Linked DNA regions of Caenorhabditis elegans. The protein of the gene in region 2 purifies or fractionates together with the protein of the main gene of each other region. This does not show direct contact. Each region holds a gene or a part of one and is shown on either strand. Other genes may lie near its edges.

Region 1 (13,275 bases), on a different chromosome or scaffold from region 2:
TGATTCTCCGTAACAACGCTTTCATGGGAGGCAGGCCCGGTTTCAGGGCCTGACGCCTGCCTCAAACCTGCCGGCCTCACGCCGGCCTCACGCTTCATTTCTGCATTTTGGCGAAAAATCAAATACTTGGACATAGTGAAAAGGTGATTTTTTCGACGCGGCCGACACTTTTCGGGTTCCGCGCCGCACTATACAGGAGGCGAGGCTCGCGGCGCGAGGCAGGCGGAGGTCGCCGCAAGGCAGGCGCGGCAAGCATTTTTGTGCTTACATGGATACCCTAGTCTACACAAAGCACGAATTTCTGGCTTCCCTCATAAATTGAAATGGAAGAGTTTTTGCCGAACTAGGCCATTTTGGCTCGGCCATATCTGGGGTAGATTTGCCGTCGCGTTGCGTGTCGCGTCGCGGCTCGATTTTAGTTGTAAAACTAAATTTATTTGTCCGTGTGGAGTACACGACTTTCCCATGCGTTGTCCGGCGGGCGATTGTCAATGGAGCGCAAAAAATTCAATGAGAAAGGCCAGAACCCAGTGAAAAAGATAATTTGACAATTACAAATAATGTTTTAAAATTTTTTTTTTGTTTTTGATTTTTGGTTCTCCTTGTGTTTTAAGAACATGATGCATCACCGCTGGAAATTGCTGGATATGTAAAAAAATTATTTATGTACATATTTAAAAATCAAATCTTGATTCTCCGGGATAGAAGCATAAATCAAATTTATTACTGTAAATTTTCACTTTCAGTACATTTAATTGAAATTTTTAAGCTTTGAAGTTCAGGGTATCATAGTTTTGCCTCCAAAATCCACTTGCCCAAAAAACAAGCCTGGGAATTCCCGGCGGGGGACGATGGTTCGATAGCATCAATCATATCTGTGTGTGTGTGTGTGTGTGCAAGGCGGGGGATGAGCCGGCGCGCGAAACGAATAAATCAAGAAACGTCTCTCTTTCTGCGAGCACGGATTTTGTTGTGAGCCCGCGCGCGCGCGGTCTATAGGAGGAGAGGGGTATCATGCACTTCTAATACAGGGCATACTTCTTTCATTTCCATGTTTTTGTACATGTAATAAAATTGTTAATTAGCCAAAAGTGGTTCACATGTTCACGTCGTAAACGTCGGTTTTCAGGGTGTACTGATAATGAATGTGCTCTGTGTGGAGACAAAGAGGCAGCAGAGAGCAAGAATCAGTTAGGTTAGGCAGGTGACTTTTTTCAATTGTGACTAGGAAAAAGTATTTTGGGAATTTTTTTTTATTTTTTGGCTTCTGCCCAGATTTTCAGGATTTTTCAAATATTTACAGAAATTTTCGTGATTCTACAATAATATTTTTGTAATTTTCTCAATTTTCAAAAAATTGCCAATTAATTTTGAAGTTTCGAATGAAGCAATTGCCGAAGTTGCCGACTCCCGGAAATTTCGAAAACCGGCAATTGCCGAAATTGCCCTTTGCCGGAAATTTCGAAAACCGGCAATTGCCGAAATTGCCCATTGCCGGAAATTTCGAAAACCGGCAATTGCCGAAGTTGCCGACTCCCGGAAATTTTGAAAACCGGCAATTGCCGAAATTGCCGACTCCCGGAAATTTTGAAAACCGGCAATTGCCGAAGTTGCCGACTCCCGGAAATTTTGAAAACCGGCAATTGCCGAAATTGCCGATTGCCGGAAATTTCGAAAACCGGCAATTGCCGAAATTGCCGCTTGCCGGAAATTTCGAAAACCGGCAATTGCCGAAATTGCCGATTGCCGGAAATTTTGAAAACCGGCAATTGCCGAAATTGCCCATTGCCGGAAATTTCGAAAACCGGCAATTGCCGAAATTGCCGCTTGCCGGAAATTTTGAAAACCGGCAATTGCCGAAACTGCCCTTTGCCGGAAATTTCGAAAACCGGCAATTGCCGAAGTTGCCGACTCCCGGAAATTTCGAAAACCGGCAATTGCCAAAATTGCCGATTGCCGGAAATTTTGAAAACCGGCCACTGCCGAAATTGCCGACTCCCGGAAATTTCGAAAACCGGCCACTGCCGAAATTGCCGACTCCCGGAAATTTCGAAAACCGGCAATTGCCGAAATTGTCGATTGCCGGAAATTTCCGATCCCTGAGTTTAGCCTTTTTCAGCAAATCAAACAGTTTATGATTATTTTTTCAAAAATTGTTCTGCAGTGCTCTTGCATCACTATTGTGGCCCTCCTTTAAATACAGTACTTTCTACAGTACCACTACATCAATGATCCTTCCAGTAATGCCAACACATTGTACCACTACAGTAATCCTACAGTACCCTATACAGTACCGTCGCAATACAATTACCGTAACACTATGGAAATCTTACAATAGACTACAGTATACAAAAACTACAGTAACCCCCTTGAAGTTAGTGTAAAACTTGCAAATGTTCAACTCTTTTTTCTGATTTTTTTTTGTTAAGTTCAGAAATTGTAGAGTGTTTTTGGCTTCTGCTCAGATTTTCAGAAATTTTCGTGATTCTATAGTAGTCTTTTTGTAATTTTCTCAATTTTCAGAAGTCTGCAAATTCAATTTGAAATTTCGAATAGCTTTAAAAAACTCAAACAGTTGGCACAAATTTTCGTAGATTCATGTAGAATTTCAGCCTTTTTCAGCAAATCAAACAGTTTTTTATTTTTTTTTGTATTTTTTCAGAAATTGTTCTCACCCTCCAAAGTACTATCACGTCCTAACAGTAATATTAGCCTACCGTATCACTACAGTAATCCTCCAGTACTTCTGTGCATGCTACAGTACCCTTGCATCACCATAGTGGTGATCCTTTAAACCTACAGTACTTCTACAGTAGCACTACAGTACCACTTCAACAGAATCTTTCCAGTAATATCAGCGTATCGTACCACTACCGTAATCCTACAGTACCGCCACAATACTATTACCGTAACACTATGAAAATCTTACAATACACTACAGTATACAGAAACTACAGTAACCCCCTTGAAGTTGGTGTAAAACTTGCAAATGTCTACCGTAATCCTACAGTACCCCAATACAGTACCGCCGCAATACAGTTGGCATAACACTATGAAATCTTACAGTACACTACAGTATGCAAAAACTACAGTAACCCCCTTGAAGTTGGTGTAAAACTTGCAAATGTTCAACTTTCTACAAATTTGCCATTAACTTGTAAGTTGGGGGAGCGCATCGAAGTGTATACATATATGTACATGCCAACCAATTATTTTCTCAAACAATTTATTAATAGTCGAAGACACCTGAAGCAACGATTAGGAGGAAGAAGAGGAAGGAGAGATTGGCAGAAGAAGAAGAAGAAGACGAATTAGTTGAAGAATCTGTTGAAACGGAAGACGTTGTTTGTGATGTCTCTAGCCGTGCGACAGCTTCCCGTTTCAGACGGAACGATGTTCGCACGGCGATCGGTGGCGAGATGTCGGACACGTCGATTGTCGACGAGAAGGGATCAGAGACGGTTGAAGAATGCTGAGGAGGAGGATTATGTCGACGTTCCCGTCCACGACACGCGGCCTGGGTACACGTGACACAGACGTGAAGGTTACAGAAGATGTTCACCTCGTTGCTGGAATAATAGTCGTTGAGAGGTGGGTGGTGAACATGAACAAAGAACTTAAGAGGCTTACCTCGTTGGGAATGCCCAGGCCTTTATGTGGTTGTAGAAGATGGTCTTACCATTGCGTCGAGTCACTTCAAAGTCTCCCCACACCTGGAACAATTTTCTATGGAAGTCTCAAATAATATGCAGTTGGTCGATGCACCATGATGAATTTTGTGCCAAACATGGTGCATCGACGCTAAATAATTTTCTTTTGAAATTTAAAGATGTTTTGCTAGACTTTCCCTAAACATCTTTTTAGTTTTCCAATGTTCTCTAATATCATCATGGTGCATCGAGAAAAAATGTTATAGGAGGAGTAAAGAAATTTGAGACTTTACTTTTTTAGACCAAAAATGACCCAAAACTACCGAATTGTTTAGTAAGACGTTTTGAAAATTTTTCAAAACAAAGTTATGGCGGTTCAAAGTTCTGGAAAATAGCATATTTTCAGCTAAAATCTAATGTTTTGGGGGCTGGGGGAGGAATAAAAATGTAATTTTTTTTGTGCCCCACTGCCCGAAAATGCACTTTAATCGACGAATAAACGGCTTATAAAGGGCCACAATATTTATAAAAGAGTGATATTATAGTTATAAATAAAAATTGAGTTCCCGACCGAGAAAAAAATTGGCGAAAATTTTGATTTTAGCTGAAAATGGGACTTTTTTTCCAAAACTTTGAGCGGCCATAACTCTTTTTTGAGAATTTTTCAAAACGTCTCATTTAGAAATTCGGTAGTTTTGGGTCATTTTTGATCTAAAAAAGTAAAGTCTCAGATTTTGATACTTTCTCGATGCACCATGATGAAGAGAAAAAAAGAGAAAATTTAGAAAAAAAAAAAAAGAACCCTTCCGATGTTTTGGGAAAGTTTAGCAAAACAATAGATTTGTAAAAAATTCAATTTCATTAGGTTCCTATTAAATTCTCAATTTTTATCAATGCACCATACATTTTCAGCGTGAAATTTTGTAAAATGCACAGGAATGAAAATTGATCAGGTGTGTATAAAATAAGAAATTGAAGCATTTTGTTTTTTTTTTTGTCGATACACCATGATGAATTTCACGTCAAACATGGTGCATCCTGGAAAGGAGAGAGTTTTAAAAATGTATCATTTTTTTCTCGATGCACCATGAAGATTTATATTAGTAGAACTTAAACCGCACTTAGCATAAGTGGCATAAAAATAAAGGTGGAGTAGCGCCAGTGGGGATTTTGTCTAAATACACTTATTATGATCCAAAACGATCGAATATCTTAATGAAACACTCCAAAATATTTAAGATTTTTCAAAATTTCCGGTCAAAGTTTTGGCAAATTGCCAAAATATTGAAAAAAAATATGAGCTTTTGAGGAAATCCAAAGCAATGTCGCGTGTTTCGACCCACACAATGTTTTTATACAATGTAGAAAAAAATTTTTTTTTGGTCGACTTTTAAAATTATGAGTGGCAAAAACTGAGTAATTGCCAATTTGACAGTAAATAAAAAATTTTCAAAAACATTTTGAAAAGTTTTATTATGATATTCGATTATTCTGGCACCATTTGAGTGGTTTGTAGTAATTTCCCCACTGGCGCTACTCCACCTTTAAAATTAAAAAAAAAATCATAATGGGTATTTAATATCAATGAAAATTATCGATTTTTCCAAATGTATCAAAATGAGTGTTCAGCGCGAAATTTTGTGCAGGACTTTTTCTTTCAATAATATATCCCGAATGATGCATTAGTTATGGGCTACACGATTTTTAGAAAAGCACCTGGCCATGCTTAAAGGTGGAGAACCGAAATTTGATACTCTGTCTTTTTAGATCCAAAACGGTCCAAGACTACCAATATTCGTATTAACCTGTTCTGAAAAATTTTCAAAAAAAAAAGTTATGGCCGTTCAAAGTTTTGGAAAAATGGTCGATTTTTAGCTAAAATCTCAAATTTTGGCAACTTTTCAATGTCACAGCTGGAGCTTAATTTTAGAAACAACACGTGATAAATTGCAAAAACATGCATAAAAATATGTTCCAACCGCTCCGACACTAAAAAGGTGCCAAAATTTGAGATTTTAGCTAAAAATCGACCATTTTTCCAAAACTTTGAGAGGTCATAATAACTTTTTTTTTTGAAAAATTTTCAGAACGTCTTAATACGAAATTTGGTAGTTTTTGGACCATTTTGGGTCTAAAAAGGCAAAGTATCAAATTTTGGTACTCCACTCACTATCGAAGCAGAGCCCCAAAAGTTTGACCGACCCAATTTTGTAAGTTTCTTCGATGCACCATGATGATTTTGAGCAAAATGTTAGTTTTTTTTTTTGAAAAACTGGTGGCAGGACCCAGTTTTCGGCAGTTTTAAATGTCGATGCACTATGTTTTTTTTAATGAAACCGTACCTCCCCAGAAGTCTGCAAAGAGCATCCGTGTGAGTCCGACAGTGGTAGCTCGGATATCCCGTCATTCGCCCAACACCTTCCGATTCGTCCATTCTGATCATCGCTCATTTCAACTGTGTACGTCTACAATTTACAAATAGTTTCTTTTGATTTATGGAGTTCCTGACTTACAACTCTATCACCAACTGCTAACGGACGTTGTAGCTGCTTTGAATCCAAACTGTCGCCGTCTAGAACACGAACTCGGTAGTCGACTGTCTGAAACATTATATGGGTCTCGCAGCGATAATTTTGAAGCCTTACCTTATTATCCGATAGGCTGCTTGCTGTGGTGGCATCCGAGTTGATAGTGATTCCACCAAATGATACGGTCACCTGAGATTCTTTAGGAACAGGGGCAGCAGGTATACAGGTCAGAAGGAATCGTTTGTCGGTTTCTGCATTGAATCTTAAAAAAAAACGATGAGGAAGTTATTTTTTATTTTTGTCTATTTTTGTTCGTATATGGTTTTTTAGGTACCATGGAATAAAAAAAATGCTCCTAAAAAAATTAGTTTCAATAACAAATATTACTGGTACAGAGAGTGTAGATAGTTAGAGAGTGACTGACATCCGGGACCCAATGGGGCGGGGCGCGCGGAAGAGACGATTCGTGTCGATTTACGAAATGATGACAACGAGGAAAATTTCGTAAATCGACACAAATCGTCTCTTCCGCGCGCCCCGCCCCATTGGGTCCCGGATGTCTGTCACTCTCTAACTATCTACACTCTCTGTACCGGTAATACCATAATATGATCATCATTCTACATTAGAAAAAAATCGATCTGAAATCACAGATTTTTGGCCTCCCTCATAAATTGAAATGGAAGAGGTTGCCAAACTAGGCCATTTTGGCTCGGCCATATCTGGGGTAGATTTACGGCGCGTTGCGTGTCGCGTCGCGGCTCGATTTTAGTTGTAAAACTAAATGTAGTTGGCCGTGTGGAGTACACGACTTTCCCACGCGTTGCCCGACGGGCGATTGCCAATGGAGCGCGAGAATCTCAATGAGGAAGGCCATGGCGCGCCAGAACCCCATGATTTTTAGGGTATTTCGAGGTTGGCAAATATTCTGGAATCTTTTTGCAAAATGTTTTTTTTTTTTTGAAAAAAAAATTCCAAAAAATATCCTGATCGATGAAAATTGTTGGGTGAAAAAAGTTGCAGATTTTAGGAGAAATTTGAGAAATTAGAAAAATTAGAAATTAGGAGAAATCAGAAAATTTCCAAACTGCTTTCAGAATACTTGTATATATTGAAATAGCCTAAAAATCATGAAATTTTTCAAAAATCTCTAAACTAGCCTCCAAATTTGGTAGTAAAAATTCACTGGCAGCAACTTCAGAGCGAGATTTTTCTAGTTTAAAGTGCTCGTATGTCGCTGAATTTTTTGTAGGTACCTATTTGAAAGCTCTTTTTTCAAAATTCAAAAATTTAATTTTCAAGTTTAAATTTTGAGTAGCGCCAGTGGGGGATTTTGTCTAAATACACTTATTATGATCCAAAACTACCTGAGTAATTGCCACTTTTTGACAGTAAATAAAACATTTACAAAAAAAAAAAGTTTTATTATGATATTCGGTCACTTTGGGACCAAATGAATGGTTTTTCATAATTTCCCCACTGGCGCTACTCCACCTTTAAAACTGAGCGGAAATACTTTCCTTGTGAGCATAGCGGCAAAAAACCTAGTACCACATGGCAAAAAAAAACCCACTCATTGTTAGCCATGACAACTTCGATCTCATTCTCCAAATTGCCTTCTCCGTTCTCCTTGGTCGAGCAGCCAGTCAGCGGAATCTAAGCAAATAATGCCCAAAAATTCAATACATTCAATAGGCAAACCTTCAACTGATATTTGGTGTCCGATTGAAGCGTGCCATTTGCATAGATACACTTTGGATGGCCCGCGCGACTTTGTATCGTGCCACGGAAGTTTTCGTCAAACTTGATTTTCAATAGGAAATCTGTCTGCAATATTGAAGACGTTTTTTTCCTTTTGGGTGGTGACCTTCAAGGTTTTGGCCTGGGTTTTTAATCTTCCATTAAATGCCCTTCAAATTCGCTTTTTCGAGAGTTTAAGAGAGTTTCTAGGCCGAGGAACTTCTTGCAGCCAAATTTCTAAACTATTGTGTTTTTGCCAAAAACAATGAAACATTTTAGGTCATTTGTGACGTCATATTTTTTCCATGCAACTTTTTATTGGCTCCACACATCTTCCAAAAAGCCTAAGCCTGAGCCTAATCCAATGTCTAAGCTTAAGCCTAAGGTTCAGCCTAAGCCTACGCCTAAGCCCAAACCAAAGCCTAAGCCTAAGCCTAAGCTCAAGCCTAAGCCTAAGCCTAAAAAAAACCGGAAAATCCTAAGCCTAAATAGCGTCAGTAGCAAGCTAACGCTCGCCACTGACGCCAAACCTAAGTCTCGGCTTAAGCCAAAGCCTAAGCCTAAGCCTAAACCCATGATTAAGCCCAATCCTAAGCCTACGCCTAAGCTTGAACCTAAGCCTAAGCCTAAGCCTAAGCCTAAACCCAAGCCTAAAATTTCTAGGCCACCACTAATATTTTCAAAACTCGATTCTCAAATACTTCATTTTTTCAGGATATGAAAGTAGGACAGAAATGGGCAGGGTATATGGTATGGAGCAAATATCACAAGATGGCAGAAACATAGATACGGGGTGGGAGTGTTGGACTAGGTGACTTTTCTAGGCCATCCCTACCTTATCACACGCAATAGAAGTGTCCACAATGGCCACCGATCGAATCAGCGGTGGCAGCACCACAACCACCGACCAAATGATCCAGTGCAGAATCATAAATTTGTGGAGGGAAAAATCGATAACAGTAGTGAGGGTAATAGTAGTAATAATACAAATATATATGGAAAAATGAATACAAAAAGATGTGTGCGCTGGTTGGGGTGGTGGCGTAAGAATACAGGTGGGTGGGGGGTATAATTGGAGCGTGGCCGAGGAGGAGAATCGCAAAAAAAAGAAGGAAAGAAAGAGGATAGTAATGACATGTTACGGTAGAAGGACAACTACCTAATTATATGAAAGAGGGGGGGGGGGCGACGAGAAGAGGAAAAAGTCTTACGCAATTTGCTACTCGACTTTCAATTTCTGCTAGAAATCGAAAAAAAAATAGGAAACAAATTCCGACTCTATTCGATATCATCACTTCCGGGGCACGGCACAGGTCGGATCAGATTCAACGACGTCTCGCGATCCCGACCCTCTGATCTTACGGCCATCCCATTGTTCACATGATAGTCGATGAGCTCGGAGATGTTGCTGAACGTGCGATCGCGGGTTCGGACTCTCTGGAATTTTGAGAGGTTTGAAGGTTTGGCGGGGGGGGGGGGGGAGGGTCTTACGTTGTGATTGTCCAGTAGGATGAGATGTTTGTGCTCGTTTTCAGCGGTTCGGCCACTCAGCACGTACTTGCCGGGCGTGTGGTCGCTTTGTCTGCAAGGAACTGGACAAGTTTGAGCGGCCGACAGCTTGCGGGTCTTTTTTTAGAGAAGGGGGACTGTGAGGTGTCCGCTGCTTCAGACAATCTTAGCATCATGCAAACCTTGCATCTTTTGTATTTCAGGAAAAAAAACGCAGAATTTTTTTTGAACAAAAATTTCAGCCTAAAACAAAAATCTAAAAAAATTTTGGGAGGATGAACTTATTATACCAAATTTTTCCCTGGTCTTTCAAGAATTATTTAAAGTCCCGTGGCTTCTGAACATATTATCAAACAAATTACAGATATGAAATGTGACTGAAGCTTTAAGTCAGAAATATATAAAAAAAGGATTTTTCATACTATTTTTTCAGTCAAATTTGATTTTTTTAGACTTTCAGATTTTTCTACGAAGTCTGTTAAAATAGGCTTATATTAAAAAGCTATCCGATTTACTATTAGTAAAAAATTATAGCGACCGACATCTCGCAGGTTGTTAAAGAAAGGTGCATTGACCGGCTCACGCAACTTTGGCAGTTTATATCTCGGCTGGTTTTGGTTTTATTTAAAAAATTTCAATTGACGAAATATTTATCACTTTTTCTACTAAAAGTTTGCAGTTGAACACTTTTTGCTAGCAGCGATATTAACCGAGATATTAGCGGAAAAAGTTACATGAGAAACATGGTGCATCGACAAGAAATATCTCACAAAACTTTGGCAGGTTATATCTCGGCTGGTTGTGGTTTTATTAAAAAATTGTTAATTAACAAAATGTTTATCCTTTTTTCTACTACAACTTTGCAGTTCAACACTTTTTGCTAGCAGCGATATAAACTGAGATATGATTGGAAAAAGTTACATGAGAAACATGGTGCATCGACAAGAAATATCTCACAAAACTTTGGCAGGTTATATCTCGGCTGGTTGTGGTTTTATTGAAAAATTGTTAATTGACAAAATATTTATCCTTTTTTCTTCTACAACTTTGCAGATGAACACTTTTTGCTAGCAGCGATATAAACCGAGATATGATTGGAAAAAGTTACATGGAAGACATGATGCATTGATCAGCTATCATAGCTCATATTTTACTTATCTCAGGTTTTACCAAAAAATTGCCAATTATTAAAACATTAGCCTTTTTCTTCGAAAATCAAATTTTGCCCGAATTGCCGAAAATATAGATTTGATATTTTTTTGTAGATTTAGGAGCCTAAACATTTTTTAATTTTTTAAGTATTGACCGTTTGCTTTTAAAAATGACTAATCGAATACTGAAAACACAGTTAACTTTTTTTTCAATTTTCGAATTATAATTAGGTTTGAAAATTGCCGAAAATGTCGGCATTCAGTTGGAATTTTGGCAATTGCCGAAAATTTCCGATTCCCACGCGCCCCTGGTGTGAACCTAGTGAGCATGAAGCCAAACGTTTTAGAAATTCAGCAAAATTCTAGCTTTTTTCTATAAAAAATCTAAAAAACCTTACCGAACCAAAAAATCGCCTTCCGTCTTCAACAAAGCCTGTGCATCCTCTCTGGATAAATTTCCATGATACCAAACTTTCCCCACAACATCCTCAGTTACAGTAGGTGCTCGGCAATTCGACACAAATGACTGTCGATGCAGGGAACTTCGATGTCTCATCGGCGGCGCCGGCACCGTAAATCCATCGTTAGAAGTTGAAGCATTCGCCTGTGCATCAAAAGTGTTCACATTGATCGCAGTGGTAAGGACGTCGATGAGCTTGTGCACATCCTCGATGAACACCACGTGGCATCGACGATCCGTTCCATCCTTGTTTTTTGCAATGTAGCCGAACATTAGCTCCGTGTCCGTACCCTTTTGGCCTTGGGCTCCGAATGAGAAGAATGAGAAGGGATGACGTTGAATTAGACGACTTTGTTTTATGATTTTGATCATTTTCGAGGAAATGTTGATGTCTACGGGGAAGTTTTCTTTTTTCACTTCACCGATTACCTGAAAATAAGGATGGTTTACCTGGGCTTTTTCATCGACCCGTGAAGTGTCGGCTGCAATAATTTTAGTCGAAATTAGTGATAATAACTTTTCTATGAATAGCGGCTGACATCATTTAGCGCGATTTTTGATCGACCTGTAAGATGTCGGTTGCTTTAGTACATTCTATAGTGGCAGGCTTTTGGCTGAATTTTACTGGATATATAAGCTATCAAAATTTGAGCATGTCGATGCACCATGTAATTATCTCAGTTTATTTCGCTGCTATCAAAAAGTGTTAAAATGCAAAGTTGTAGTAGAAAAAACGATAAATATTTTGTCAATTGACACTTTTTCAAAAAAAAACCAAAACCAGCAGAGATATAAGTAGTCAAAGTTGAGTCAGATATTTCCAGTCGATGCACCATGTAACCTTTCTCTAATAACCTGTGAGATGTCGGTTGCTATAATTTTTTAGTCATTAATTTGGACAGCTTGTTAATTTGAAATAATTCTTGATGATATCGTAGCGCGGCCGACATTTCACGGGTCCTTTTTTTTAAACATTTTGCAAAGCTGGTCATGCATTTTTGGTAACACTTAATATCAAATTAATGAGAAAATGTTTTGTAAATTTTTACCATTAGCCATGCCCAGAAAATGGCAAGTTTTTTATTTTATTTTCTTTTGTTTTTTTAATTCACAAAAAAAAACTCACCCTACTAACAACTGGATTGATTTCTCGAGCCGCAGTCACGCCAACAGTAGCTGCAACGTGTTGTATACATTCTCTGAAAATTGAACAGTTACTTTATTACGTAGATTTTTTATATATTTGAGCTTGCAGATGTTACCTGCCTTCATGCCTGCCTACCGCCTGATTTCTAAATTTTTGAATAAGATTTTTTTTTGATTTTAAGCCATAAGAAAAACTAACGAAACAACTTGAACTCTCATCTCGGAAACCATCACGTTAATTGACTCGACTACTGGAACACTTCCGAGGTACTGAAAGACAATTTTATATTTTCGGGGAAAAAACTAATAAAAAACTCACAGTAGCCGACAGAGAAACCCCGCTGCTCCGCAGCTCCTCTGCAAATGAGGGCTCCACGTTGAGCATCGCCGCAAGTTGATTTTTCGACGGAATTTTTGATTATTTTTAGAAAAAATCTAACTCGAAATTCGTTACAACCGAAATTTTGCAAGATTGAGTGAATGAGGAATGACCGGGAGAGAAACGGAGACGCAGGCGGTGAGCGGAGTGGGAGAGAGAGCGCGCGAGACGGAGAGGCGCAGGCAGTGGTAGGGAGGAGACAGGGAAAGATTAGATTGGTGTTGACTGGGTGAGTCAGCATTCTAATAAGTTAAGTTGACTCATAACTTTGTTTTTTGATCAGAGGGGGGGGGGGGGGGCCGTGGCCTAGAAATATCATTGCCTACTTATTACGTCACTAATGGTCTAGGAAACCTTGATAGCTTTTTTGGAGAAGATATGACGTCATTGGTGGACTAGAAATCTTATTTTAGTTCTGGAAGAGAAATATTTTGACCGTGGAAGACAAATTAATGATGTGACCGGTGGCCTAGAAGTTTCAAATTATACCTGGGGAAATAAATGACGCCACTGGTGGCCTAGAAAACTTAAACTATGCCTGAAGACGTCACCGGTGACCTAGAAATTTAATTCTGGCGACGTCATAGAAATTTGAATTTTGATGAGAAATATAATTTTATTGGTTTTCTGAAAATTGAATTTTATTGATTTTTTGGCAACCGGGAAATTGGAAAATTTAATAAATTGAACAAATGCAATAAAATAAGCAGTT
Region 2 (11,757 bases):
GCTAAAAACAGTCCAATGCCAGAAAATGTGTCCCCACAGGGGTTTTTATTAGAATTTTGACAATTTTGGTTAAAAATCCCAATAAAAAACCCCTGCAGGGACTCATTTTCAACCATTGAGGCTTTTTTTTTCATTTTTAGACCAAAGTTGTCGAAAATTTCTATAAAAACCCCCTGTGGGGACACATTTTCCAGCAATTTTTGTGCTAAAAATTAAAAAAAAAACGGTTCAATGGCAGAAAATATGTCCCCGCAGGGGGTTTTATTGAAATTTTAACAATTTCGGTACAAAATTCCAATAAAACCCCCTGCGGGGACACATTTTCAGCCTCTGAACCGTTTTTTTTTAAATTTTTAGCCCAAAAATGTCATAAATTTCGGCAAAAAACCCCTACGGGGGCACATTTTCTGCGAATTTTTGTGTAAAAAATGTGTCCCCGCCGGGGGTTTTTATTGGAATTTTTAACCAAATTTTCAAAATTTTCAATAAAAAACCCCTGCGGGGACACGCAGCATTCTTATCAAAAAGTGATCAATCATCATTGTGCTGTGTGCTAATCATTTATTTTTTCCAATTTTTTCAGCGAATTCAGCGCCACTGTTAAGAAATTTGGTAATGGAGGAGACACCGAAGACGCCGGAGCAAGAAAAAGAGCAAAATGTCAAGGAGAAGCCGGCGGAGAGCACAGAAACACCAGCTGCTGGCACAGAGCCAAGTACAGATGATGGAGCAATTGAAACTACTACCACTACTACTACTACTGAAAATAAGGAAAAGCCGGAAGAAAAAATGGAAGAATAAATGGTCGCCCGGGAAATTTAAATTCACCAACAAAAATCTTTAATTTATTACTTTTTTACCCTATTTTTTAATTTTCCGCCTCTGAAAAACACCACCTTTTTACCCGTAAAATGGGCGGAGCCTAACAGACCACGCCCACAAAATGGGCGGGGCTTTATGTATTTTTTTAAACGCAAAATATCTCATTATATTTCGAAAAAAAATTAAATTTCGCAGAAAAAAATTCCCCAAAAAATTGAAAAAAAAATGGTTAGGCCACGCCCACAAAATGGACGAGGCTTTATTTTGATCTCAAAATTATTCTGAAAAAATTCAAAAAAAAAATCCGCGATTGTCTATTTTGTGGGCGTGGCTTCTTAGCTTTTTCGCTTTTTTTAAATTTAAAAAAAAATAAAACCGAAAAAGTTAAGCTCCGCCCATTTCTGGCCATTTTTCGAAAAAAAAATTGTGTTTTTTTTCGAATTTCCCTCTTCCAATATCCTCTTTTCACCAATTTTCACACAGAATCTCTCGATTTTTGTTATGTATTTTATTCATTTCCTCCTATATTTTTTATTTATTCATTTATTGTTCTTATCAAATTATCAACAATACACATTCATATATATATATATATATATATATATATATATGTATTTTAAAAAATTGTCGAAAAATCGGGAAAATTTTTAAATTTTTGAAGAGAAAAACAAAAAAAAACAATTTTTCCGAAAAAGTGAAATGTTCGAAAAAATGGGCGGGGCTTGGTAGACCACGCCCACAAAATGGCTGACCATTTTATGGCCGTGGCCTATTGAGTCCCGCCCACGTTTTGCATTGAAATTTCAAAAAAAAAATTTTTTTTCGTTAATTTTTGTTTAAAAAACTAGAAAAAAATCAACAAAAAACTAATTTTAAAAAATTAGATTTCGTAGAAAACAAATTCCCAAAAATTTGAAAAACAGAAAGCCACGAAATGGGCTGAGCTTAATTTTTATCTAAATATGTTTTAAAAAATCCCAAAAATCGCAGATTTCAGGCTTCTGCCTCTTTCCTAAAACCCCCATCTTGCCTCATACACGCGTTTTCGGTGTTCAAAAAATGTTCAAAAAATGTCCGAAAAAATGTAATACAATTTTGAACGTTTATATCTCGGCTCTCACGGAACCGATTTTTGAAATTCTTTTTTCTCTACATTCACAAAATATAGCGACGTGTGTTCATCTAAAAGGGGGTTGATTTGGGAGCATCCTGTCGGCTCCACAAGCGGAAAACCACACCCCTCTTGTTTTTGCGCACACCGAAGTACTGGTCGAAAACCACTTTAAATTGAAGGAAAATTCGAGTTTATGTTCAAAACGTTTGAGACTCGAAACTTAAGTTCTCCTTTTCAATACCTATCCACTGTATCTAAGTTCATTGTGATATCTCTATTCTTTATTTTAAAAACGATAATTAAAGTTTTGCCAAAATTTCTGCACCTCCCCCCTTTTCTCACACACACACACCCACCTCCCCTTTTCATATTTGGTGTGTTTTCACCATTGTTTCGGTCAAATCTCCGTTAGTCTTGCTCACTTCTTTCAAACAATTTACATTTTTCCATAAAATTCACAAACTTTCCACTATCGTTCCGGTTTTTACGTTAAATTTAGAATTTATAGAATGATTTAAAATGAAATCTCAAATCACAGCTCGATCCGATCACTTTTCGCGGAGATAGGGTATTTAATTTTTGCACATGGAAATCCAGTTTTCCTCTGTTCCTGGACAAGTTTTCAACTATCCTTTCGATTTTATGTTTTAATTTTGATAATTTTCATTGAAGCAAGGTAGAAAAACTAAATTTGGTCGGTCTTGACAACTTTCAGCACATTTGTGGAAGTTTCGAGCTTCCAGGCCTTCCCAGAAGGTGATATGTTTCAATTTTTGTTATTTTTTAAAATAATAACCGCCGTATTATTCCACTTTTTACGCCAATTTCAAATATTATTTTATTTTTTTCAAATTTCCACTATGAGCAAAGTTATGACGGATTGAAGTCTTAGTGCATAACTCCTCACCAACTCTAAGAAGAAGTTCACTTTGAACATATACTTCAGGCATTGCAGGCCGGAGGCCTGCTGTGCGATTACAACTGTTTCAAGCCCAGATTGGCTGGATTGAGTGCCGCAGGCACTCTTACTCTTAGAAGACGCAGTCAACCTTAAATCATTATACCAAGGCAGGCCGGAGGCCTGATATGCGATTACTCTTAGATAAGTTTGATTTAGAAAGCTTTTATTATTTTCAGTTTTCTAAAACAATCCCCATTCCCGAGGGGCTGCGGGGCCCACAGGCGTTCACGATTTTCCTAAAAGTAGATATGTTATTCACTCAAGCCTAATAACCAGGTTTGAGGGCCGCAGGCCCGAATACTCTTGAAAACTGTGGGCTGGCTTTAATCCTATTCTAAGCAGAGCAGGCTGTAGGCCTGCGACGCGGTTGTTATTTACTCAAACCTAACAACCAGGTTCGAGGGCCGCAGGCCCGAACACTCTTGGAAACTATGGGCTGGCTTTGATCCTATTCTAAGCAGATATGTTATTCAATCAAGCCTAATAACCAGGTTTGAGGGCCGCAGGCCCGAATACTCTTTAAACTATGGGCTGGCTTTGATCCTATTCTAAGCAGATATGTTATTCACTCAAGCCTAATAACCAGGTTTGAGGGCCGCAGGCCCGAATACTCTTGAAAACTGGGCTGGCTTTAATCCTATTCCAAGCAGAGCAGGCCGTATTCATGAGTTTTCCTTTTCATTCACCGTTTTTTGTAGTTCACAGTGATGATTGAAAACACGCTTATTTTATTGAATACATTCAAATTATTCTTGAACAAAATCTAAGCCTAAGTTATTCGTACAGTGTCGGTCCTGGAGCAATGAATCAAAGTTTAAAGAGATTTCACTTTACACAGTAAGAGCTTCGAGGCGAAACCTCAAACCTGAATAGTCAAGTTTTCTAAACATATACCCCACTCCTGAAATAATTTCAAAGAGATCTCGAATAACCCGTTAACAGGTTCGAGGCGAAGCCGAGAACCTGCGCCAGCTACCTTGCTAATAACTTAGAGCGAATAAACCCTATCCCCATTCCCGAAGGGCTGGCGGGCCCATAGGCCCGCTAGTCCCTCATAAATTGAAATGGAAGAGTTTGCCGAACTAGGCCATTTTGGCTCGGCCATATCTGGGGTAGATTTACGGAGCGTTGCGTGTTGCGTCGCGGCTCGGTTTTAGTTGTAAAACTGAATGTATTTGTCCGTGTGGACTACACACGACACTTTTCCACGCGTTGTCCGGCAGGCGATTGCCAATGGAGCGCGAAAAATGCATTGAGGAAGGCCAGAACCCCGTGTATTTTTCATTGAATTTAAATAATTATAGAAACTATTTTTTTAATGAAACAATGAAGAAAAATATTTCGAAAACTCACAAAAAACTTTTGAGTTTTTTTTCTGAAAATAGCACAAAATCGACAGATTTTTATCGATTTTTTTTTGATATTTCCGCCTATATTAATTAATTTATTTATTGATCTTATCATCAAATTATCAACAATACACATTCATAATTATGATGAACGTACTAAAAATAGAGTTTCTCTCACTCATGTGCTCGCTCGGCCATCACTTATGTCCAAAAAACTGATAAAAAGTAGAGTGTTGAAAGTGAAAATGAGCCTCCCTATTGTGTCACACACAGAGCACAAAACGGGGAACTCGTCGCCTTTGTCTTTGACACACTGGGACACTCCACCCATTCTGTCCCCACAGGGGGTACTTCTGTACTATAAAACGACGCTTTGGGTTTCATAATAAGGCAGCAGCGCCTCTGTTATCATTCGCCACCACCACCACCAAAAACTAACATCGCCGAGAAAATGATCTACCGACTATTATTCCTCTATTTCTCGGTGGTTCATGCCGAGCTCGAGATGGTTCAGGTGCTTGTTAGGTGAGATTTTCAAAAAAAAAAGTACTATAGTTAAAGGCGCATAGGCGTTTGTTAGGCCCGTAGCAAAAATATTTTTTAAACCGAATTATCTCAAATTTTTGAAATTTCTAGTCAAAAATTTGAGAATCAACCCTAAATTGGTTGAAACAGTACCAAATTCAATAAAAATTCGATTTTGTCTTGAAAACTGGTGTAATTGAAGGCGCACCGGCGAAAAATCGATTAAAAATACTGTATTCAAAGGTGCATAGGCTTTTGTGTCTCGTAGCGATTATTTTTTTAAATGTTTAATTGAAATTTCGAAAAATCCGGCAAATATTGATTTTTTTCTTATGCAACGTTTGAAAAATTAAATTAAATTTAAAATTTACTGCATAAATATACTGTACGTTTGGGTCCCGTAGCGAAAAATATTTTCTTCCGAATTTTTTCAAATTTTTGAAATTTCTAGTCAAAATTTTGAGAATCAGATCTAGACTCTTGGCTCAAAGAGTATCAAATTCATTAAAACTGTGAATTTTTTTTTGAATGCTACTGTATTTAAAGGCGCATAATTAAGGCCCTTTTTAGTTGCTAGGTCTCGTAGCGAAATGAGTTTTTTTCGGGATATGCCAGCTTTTAAGAAAAATTATTTACAAAACGATAACAAAGATTCCTGACTTCCCTCATAAATTGAAATGGAAGAGTTTGCCGAACTAGGCCATTTTGGCTCGGCCATATCTGGGGTAGATTTACGGCGCGTTGCGTGCCGCGTCGCGGCTCGATTTTAGTTGTAAAACTGAATGTATTTGTCCGTGTGGATAACACGACTTTCCCACGCGTTGTCCGGCAGTCGATTGTCAATGGAGCGCGAAAAATTCGATGAGGAAGGCCAGAACCCCGTGCGCGATAACCGATAGAAAAACTGATTTTTTTGTATTTCTGTTGGAATAGTGGGTTTCTATATTATCCCGAATAACTTTTTTGTGAAAATATTTAGGAAAAAGACCCTGAAAAACCCAGATTTTCGAAGAAAACTGAGATTTTTATCGCTCCTAATGTTTTCCCGGATATAAAAAAATCATTTTCAACCGGAAACTCGAGCAATCTTAGCGTTTTGTGGGAAGGTCTCTGGCGTGAATCATTGTAATTACTTCCTCACGTGACGTATTGTTAAAAATATTGATAACTAATCACCTTATCAATTCAATAGTCACATCATTCAATGGTCATGTTTCATAACCAATTCGGCATTCCAGACACGGAGACCGAGCCCCATCATTCACATACCCTCTTGATGAGTTCAACGTCGCCGAGCATTTTCCACGTGGCTACTCTCAACTGACACAGCGTGGATTCCGACAGGCAAAGGAAGTCGGAGTGTTTCTAAGAAATCAATATAAGGATTTGATTGATGGATTTGATCGAAAAGAGACACTTATTCGATCAAGTGACAAGGATCGGTGCATTGAGACGGCGATGGGAATTACTCAGACACTGTTTCCAGATGATATTGTCCCAGTTCACACGTATTCACATTATAAACATGATTTGGTTAGTTTTTTTGCTGAATTTTGAAGATTTCTCACTCTAAAAGCAGTTTTTGAACAAAAATTACATGAAAATTGCTAGAAAATGCAGAATTTCAGTTTAAAATCGATTAAAACTCAAAAAACATGCAAATTCAATGCTAATGTTGTTTGAAAGTGGAAAGGTGCAGAATTTCAACAAAAATTGATTAAAAGAATCTGTTAGCTTAAAATTCAATGTTTTACAGCTTACGGCCTAAATTTCGGCCCTTATTTAGATTTTTAGTCTGGTTTTTGAGAGTTTTGACAACCTTTTGACAGTTTGAGATCAATTTCAAAAGGGGTTTCCCACGTGGTGCCAGTTACGGTTTGATCTACAAAAAATGCGGGGGAGTTCTTTTCCCAAAAAATGTGACGTCAGCACGTTCTTAACCATGCGAAATCAGTTGAGAACTCTGTGGATCTTCCTGCCACATTTTTTTGTAGATCTACGTAGATCAATCCAAAATGAGACACTCTGACACCACGTGGTTTCCACGAATAAATCAGTAAACTAACAGTAAACTTTTAAAACAAAAATATTCCTTAAATGTCAATGCTCTTTTTCAAATAATTTTAGAATAGTAGTTTTAACAAATTTCAACAAATCACAAATGTTCCAAAGCTTTTCCGCCGATTTTTTTTCCAAAAAAAACTATCAGAAATTCGCTGCTACCTTTAATTTTAAAAACCGAATGCGATTAAATTGATTTTCAAAAAAAAAAAAATCTAAAAGAAAAACTCTTCAAAAATACCCATTTCCCATTCAATCAACTTCATTTCCAGCTCCTCAAACCAAACAGTGTCCGATGCCGACGAGTCGACGAACTTGTAAACGCCGACAAATCCTGGCTCTCCGCTCAAGTCGATATTGAGCACAGGGACCTCTTCTCTCTTTTATCTCAAAAAACCGGCTGGCATGTGACGGGCTCAAAGATCTCCGACGTTTTTAACGTTCTCTATCGGAAACATGCAAATGGAGTTGCACAACCAGATTGGGTCAATCATGTTCTTGCAAATGTCACAGAGCTTAAGCGTCAGTACAGAAGTATTCAATTCAATTCTGATGAGAAGTCCAAAATGCGAACGGGATACCTTTTGGGGCAGATTACAAAAGACATGGTGCATCGAGAAGAAACGGGCCGGAAGATGATTGTGTACGCCACACATGATGCTACCGTAACCTCCATGATGTACAGCTTGGGAGTGTCCGATCATCAATTGATTCCGTATACAGCTGCTTTGATTGTGGAATTGCATAGACTAAATGGAAAATCTTTTGTTAAGGTTAGTCTTCAACTGGAAGTAGTGAAATCTACTGTGGGCTTAGGCTTAGGCTTAAGTTCAGACTTAGGCTTAGGCTTTGGCTTAGGCTTAGGATTAGGCTCTGGACTTAGCCACATGATTGGCTGTGGCTCAGGCCAAGGCTTAGGCATAGGCTTAGGCTTAATCTTAGGCACAGGCTTAGGCTTAGGCTTAAAATTAGGCTTTGGACTTAGCCACATGATTGGCTTTGGCTCAGGCCAAGGCTTAGGCTTAGGCTTAGGCTTAGGCTTAGGCTTGGACGTAGGCTTAAGCTTAGTCTTATGCTTAGGTTTAGGCTTTGTCTCATTCTTAGGCTTATTTTCAGACTAAATTAGGCTTTCCATTCTGAAAAAAAAAAACCAATTTTAATTTCAGATTCTCAACCGCAGCTCTCCGGAATCTGCTCCCCGCGAGCTTCGTCTTCCTGGATGCGATGTGCTTTGCCCAATGGAAACCTACCAGGAATTTGTTTCAACACGAATTATTTCCAACAAAGAGGAGCATGACGTCATCTGTCAGAACTTTGAAGCTCCAGAAATCGAACTTCCATCACAAGAACTTCCCAAGAACCTTCCCGAAGAAGATCACCTCTTCTCAACACTTATCACTGTCGGATCTCTTTCCTACGATCTCTATGCTAATTTGAAAGCGAAAAATTGAAAACAATAATTTCTCTGAATTAAAAAAGTATTTACAAAAAAAAACGAGTGCATAATGAATAAAATTTTACAATTGACTTTTAAAAAAATGTATATACATGGAAAATTGAGGCCGACGATTGAAAATAAAGAAAATTATCTGAATTTCTGAAAAAACAAACAATTTCGGGGGAAAGTGGCCGAGTTTTCTCAATTTCTAGGCCACCAATCAAATACCGACATGATCATCGTGGTGCAACGAAAAATGCCAAAGTGGCCGAGGTTTCGCATTTTCTAGGCCACCAAACAAAAATTGTTCGAGTCAACATGGCGCATCGAAGAATGAGCAAAATGTTTAAATGAGTGGCCTAGCTTTCGCAATTTCTAGGCCACCAAACAAAAACTGACATGATCAACATGGTGCAACATGGTGCAACGAAGTATGTCGACATGGCCGAGTTTTCTCATTTTCTCGGCCACCAACCGAAAATTGCCACCCTAGAATCTAAAAACTAACAAAAAAGTGAAGAAACAAGAAGCTCCCTCCGTCATCATTTATTTGCCAACTTTCTCCCAAAGAGTCGCCAGTGGTCGCCACACATATACACAAAGAAATCTTTTTCAAACACTAAGACACTGTCTCTCTCTGTGATTTGCACTGTTTCTTCTCTCCGTCCGCAACTACCTCTCAAGAGCCGCGGAGCAAGCAACAACCAGCTCCTGGAGAAGGCTTCTGTCTTTTTTACTGTGGAGCCGAAGAAGAGCACTTTTGTTTTATTAATTATTCAAAATTTTTAAGTTTTAGTTGGTTTTGCCTACATCCGAAAAAATGTTCGGATGTATCGCACCACCCCGACAGTCCAGAAGCATCATCCGATCATGCTCACAGGTAATTTTTTTTGGAAATTTCTATTTTTTTCATCGTTAAAATAAGATTTTTAGCGTAGGCACAAGGTACCTGCCTATTTGCCTACTTACCTGCCTTGAGCATACACCTACTGGAACTTTTTATTTGATTTCGGTGTTAAATGGCAATTTTTGGCGTAGGGACAGGGACAAGGTACTTGCCTACTTACCTATTTACCTGCCTATTGAGGCAGGCATGAGGTAGGTTTGCGGTAGGTACATAGGCAACATAGGCACGAGCTAGGCACATTTTCCATGTTTTTCTTTCATTTTTGATGTAGGCGCACATTTTCCTGCCTACCTACATATACCTATTACCGCAACTATTAGATTTCACGGTGTTTTTCTGAAATAAACATTTAAAGTTCGCATGCCTACCCCTGCCTGGGTCTGCCTGGTGCCTATACGCCTAAAATTGCCACATACATATAATCATTGTTCAAGTCAAAATTCCGATAACATACGGTTGGCAGGTAGATAGAAGGTAGGCAGAAGGTAGGCAGAATGTAGGCAGGTAGGTAGCAGGTAGGTACGAAATAGGCATTTGTGTCGCCAATTTTCATGCAAAAAAGCAATTTTTCAGGATTCCCGTGAGTTCCATGGCGATCCGCGATTCCAGCGTCCAGCCTCAGTGGACCTTCGACAACCACGACACCCACTCACGACACGAGGTAAGCAGGCAGAAAATAGGCGGCCTACCTGCCTGCCTCTACGCCTACCACTTATTTCGAAAGTCGATGCACCATGATTTATTGATGTTGGCTTAGGCTTAGGCATACATAGGTTCGGGTTCAGGTTTAGCCATAGGCTTAGGCTTAGGCCTAGGTTTAGGCCTAGGTTTAGGTTAAGGCTTTGGCTTAGGCTTAGGCTCAATCTAGGCTTAGTCTCAGGCTTAGGCCCAGGCTCCGGCATAGAATTGTATTATTGATTTTTTCTTGATTTTTCTATGATTCCTAAAATAATTCAATATTTTCAGGAAGATCAGCGACACCTCCAGCGACTCTTCACGGCCACCCATCCCAAAATAACAAGCCGCCGAAAATGAAGCGACTAGACAAGTGGATTGGCAATTTACTTAGTGAACGTGAGTGGAGGGTGTGTGAGATCAAAAGTCAGCTGGAACGGAAATGAAATTTGTTTAGTTTACTCTTGTCACTTTTTTTTTGAGTTATAGTGATTTTATTTTGGCTTGGAAAATTCTGGAAATTTTTTGAGAAGAAATTTTTACCTAAAAATTTAAATTCTCTTTTTCGCACTAAAGTTACAAATATTTTCAAAAATTAAAAGTTTTCAAAATTGAAATTTCCAGCAAATTGCCAATTTGCCGAACTTGCCAAAAAATTTTTGGCAAATTGTGGTTTTGCAAATTTTTTTTTTACAAACTTCGGAATTTCAATTTTAATCAGCAAAATTGTACGCATCCTATGAATATCTGGCAAACGGCAAACCGGCAAACGCCAAAAATGAAAATTTCCGGGCAAATCGGCAAACCAGCAAACTGCCGGAATTGAAAATTTCCAGCAATTCGGCAAAACGGCAAACTCCCGAAAATTAAAGTTTCCGGCAAATGGCAAATCGGCAAATTGCCAAAAATCAAAATTTCCGGCAAATCGGAAAACCAGCAATTTTTTTCCGAAAATGAGAATTGCCGGCAAATCGGCAAATCGGCAAATTGCCGAAAATCAAAATTTCCGGGCAAATTCGGCAAACCGGCAAATTGTCGAAATTTCAAATTTCCGGCAATTCGGCAAACGGCAAATTGGCGAAAATTAAAATTCCCGGCAAATCGGCAAGTTACCGGAACTGATAATTTCCAGGCAAATCGGCAATTTTTGCCCATCTTTGATACTAGCCCTCAACAAAGTTAATACTCTCAAAAATCTGCAAAAAACGAACTTCTAAAAGCCTAGAATTTAAAGTTGGTACAAAAAAATGTAATTTTTTTTCTAAAAACCGACCAGAATTTCATGTTACATCTGAATTTTACACCGAAAAAATTTGAAAATCATAGCAAAAGTACAAGAACCTTTCCCCGATCACTTTTTAATTCGTAAATCTTGTTCACTCGTCCTATTAGCTAGTACTCTCTATCCGTTGAGGGACCATCGAGATATTTTTGTGTAACATTTCCATTTCTCTCTCATCTCTATCAATTGTGTCCTCTAACCTCTCGGCTCTTCCCCGTCAAATTCGAATACAATTACACCGTGCGTTTTGCACATTTCTACGTCGATATTGGAGATCTCCTGCAATTCGTGCTGCTTCTTCTTCTTGAGGACGCTCTCTCCTTTACGACATACATATATTTTATGTTTTATTGTTTTATGAACCAAATTACCTAAATTGTTCTGAAACAAATTTTGATTTTAGTCGTCTAAATTTTCTCCAAAACAAAAAATTTGAATTTTCCGCCAAAACTTTCCAAAATTTTTTTGAATTTCTAAATTTTTTTCCTGAAAGTCTTGAAATTTCCGCCTAAACTTTTAAAACTAAAATTTGAATTTTCCATCAAATTTTTATTTCCAAAATTCTGGGTTTTCTGCTCAAATTTTTTGGGTAAAACTAACTTAAGTGGGAAATTAGAAACTTT

Evidence for each region.
Region 1: the proteins of pho-9 (region 2) and cutl-20 fractionate together in Caenorhabditis elegans (co-fractionation; one large-scale study listed by BioGRID). This does not show direct contact.

The regions. Positions count from the first base shown.
Region 1 is NC_003279.8:960,484-973,758, forward strand, and holds cutl-20 (ZP domain-containing protein), read right to left. Parts: upstream 8,975-13,275; 5' UTR 8,850-8,974; coding exon 8,754-8,849; exon of another isoform or gene 8,605-8,753; intron 8,006-8,604; coding exon 7,880-8,005; exon of another isoform or gene 7,835-7,879; coding exon 7,752-7,834; intron 6,441-7,751; coding exon 6,296-6,440; intron 6,251-6,295; coding exon 6,164-6,250; intron 6,116-6,163; coding exon 5,993-6,115; intron 3,714-5,992; coding exon 3,631-3,713; intron 3,570-3,630; coding exon 3,230-3,569; 3' UTR 3,210-3,229; downstream 1-3,209. Other genes in the region: shc-1 (SHC-transforming protein homolog 1), read right to left, coding at 9,197-9,355, 9,410-9,500, 10,977-11,467, 12,165-12,237, 12,384-12,454, 12,504-12,569.
Region 2 is NC_003281.10:2,753,694-2,765,450, reverse strand, and holds pho-9 (intestinal acid PHOsphatase), read left to right. Parts: upstream 1-4,634; 5' UTR 4,635-4,697; coding exon 4,698-4,771; intron 4,772-4,812; exon of another isoform or gene 4,813-4,833; intron 4,834-6,009; coding exon 6,010-6,304; intron 6,305-7,104; coding exon 7,105-7,605; intron 7,606-7,998; coding exon 7,999-8,283; 3' UTR 8,284-8,367; downstream 8,368-11,757. Other genes in the region: swsn-3 (HMG box domain-containing protein), read left to right, coding at 584-801.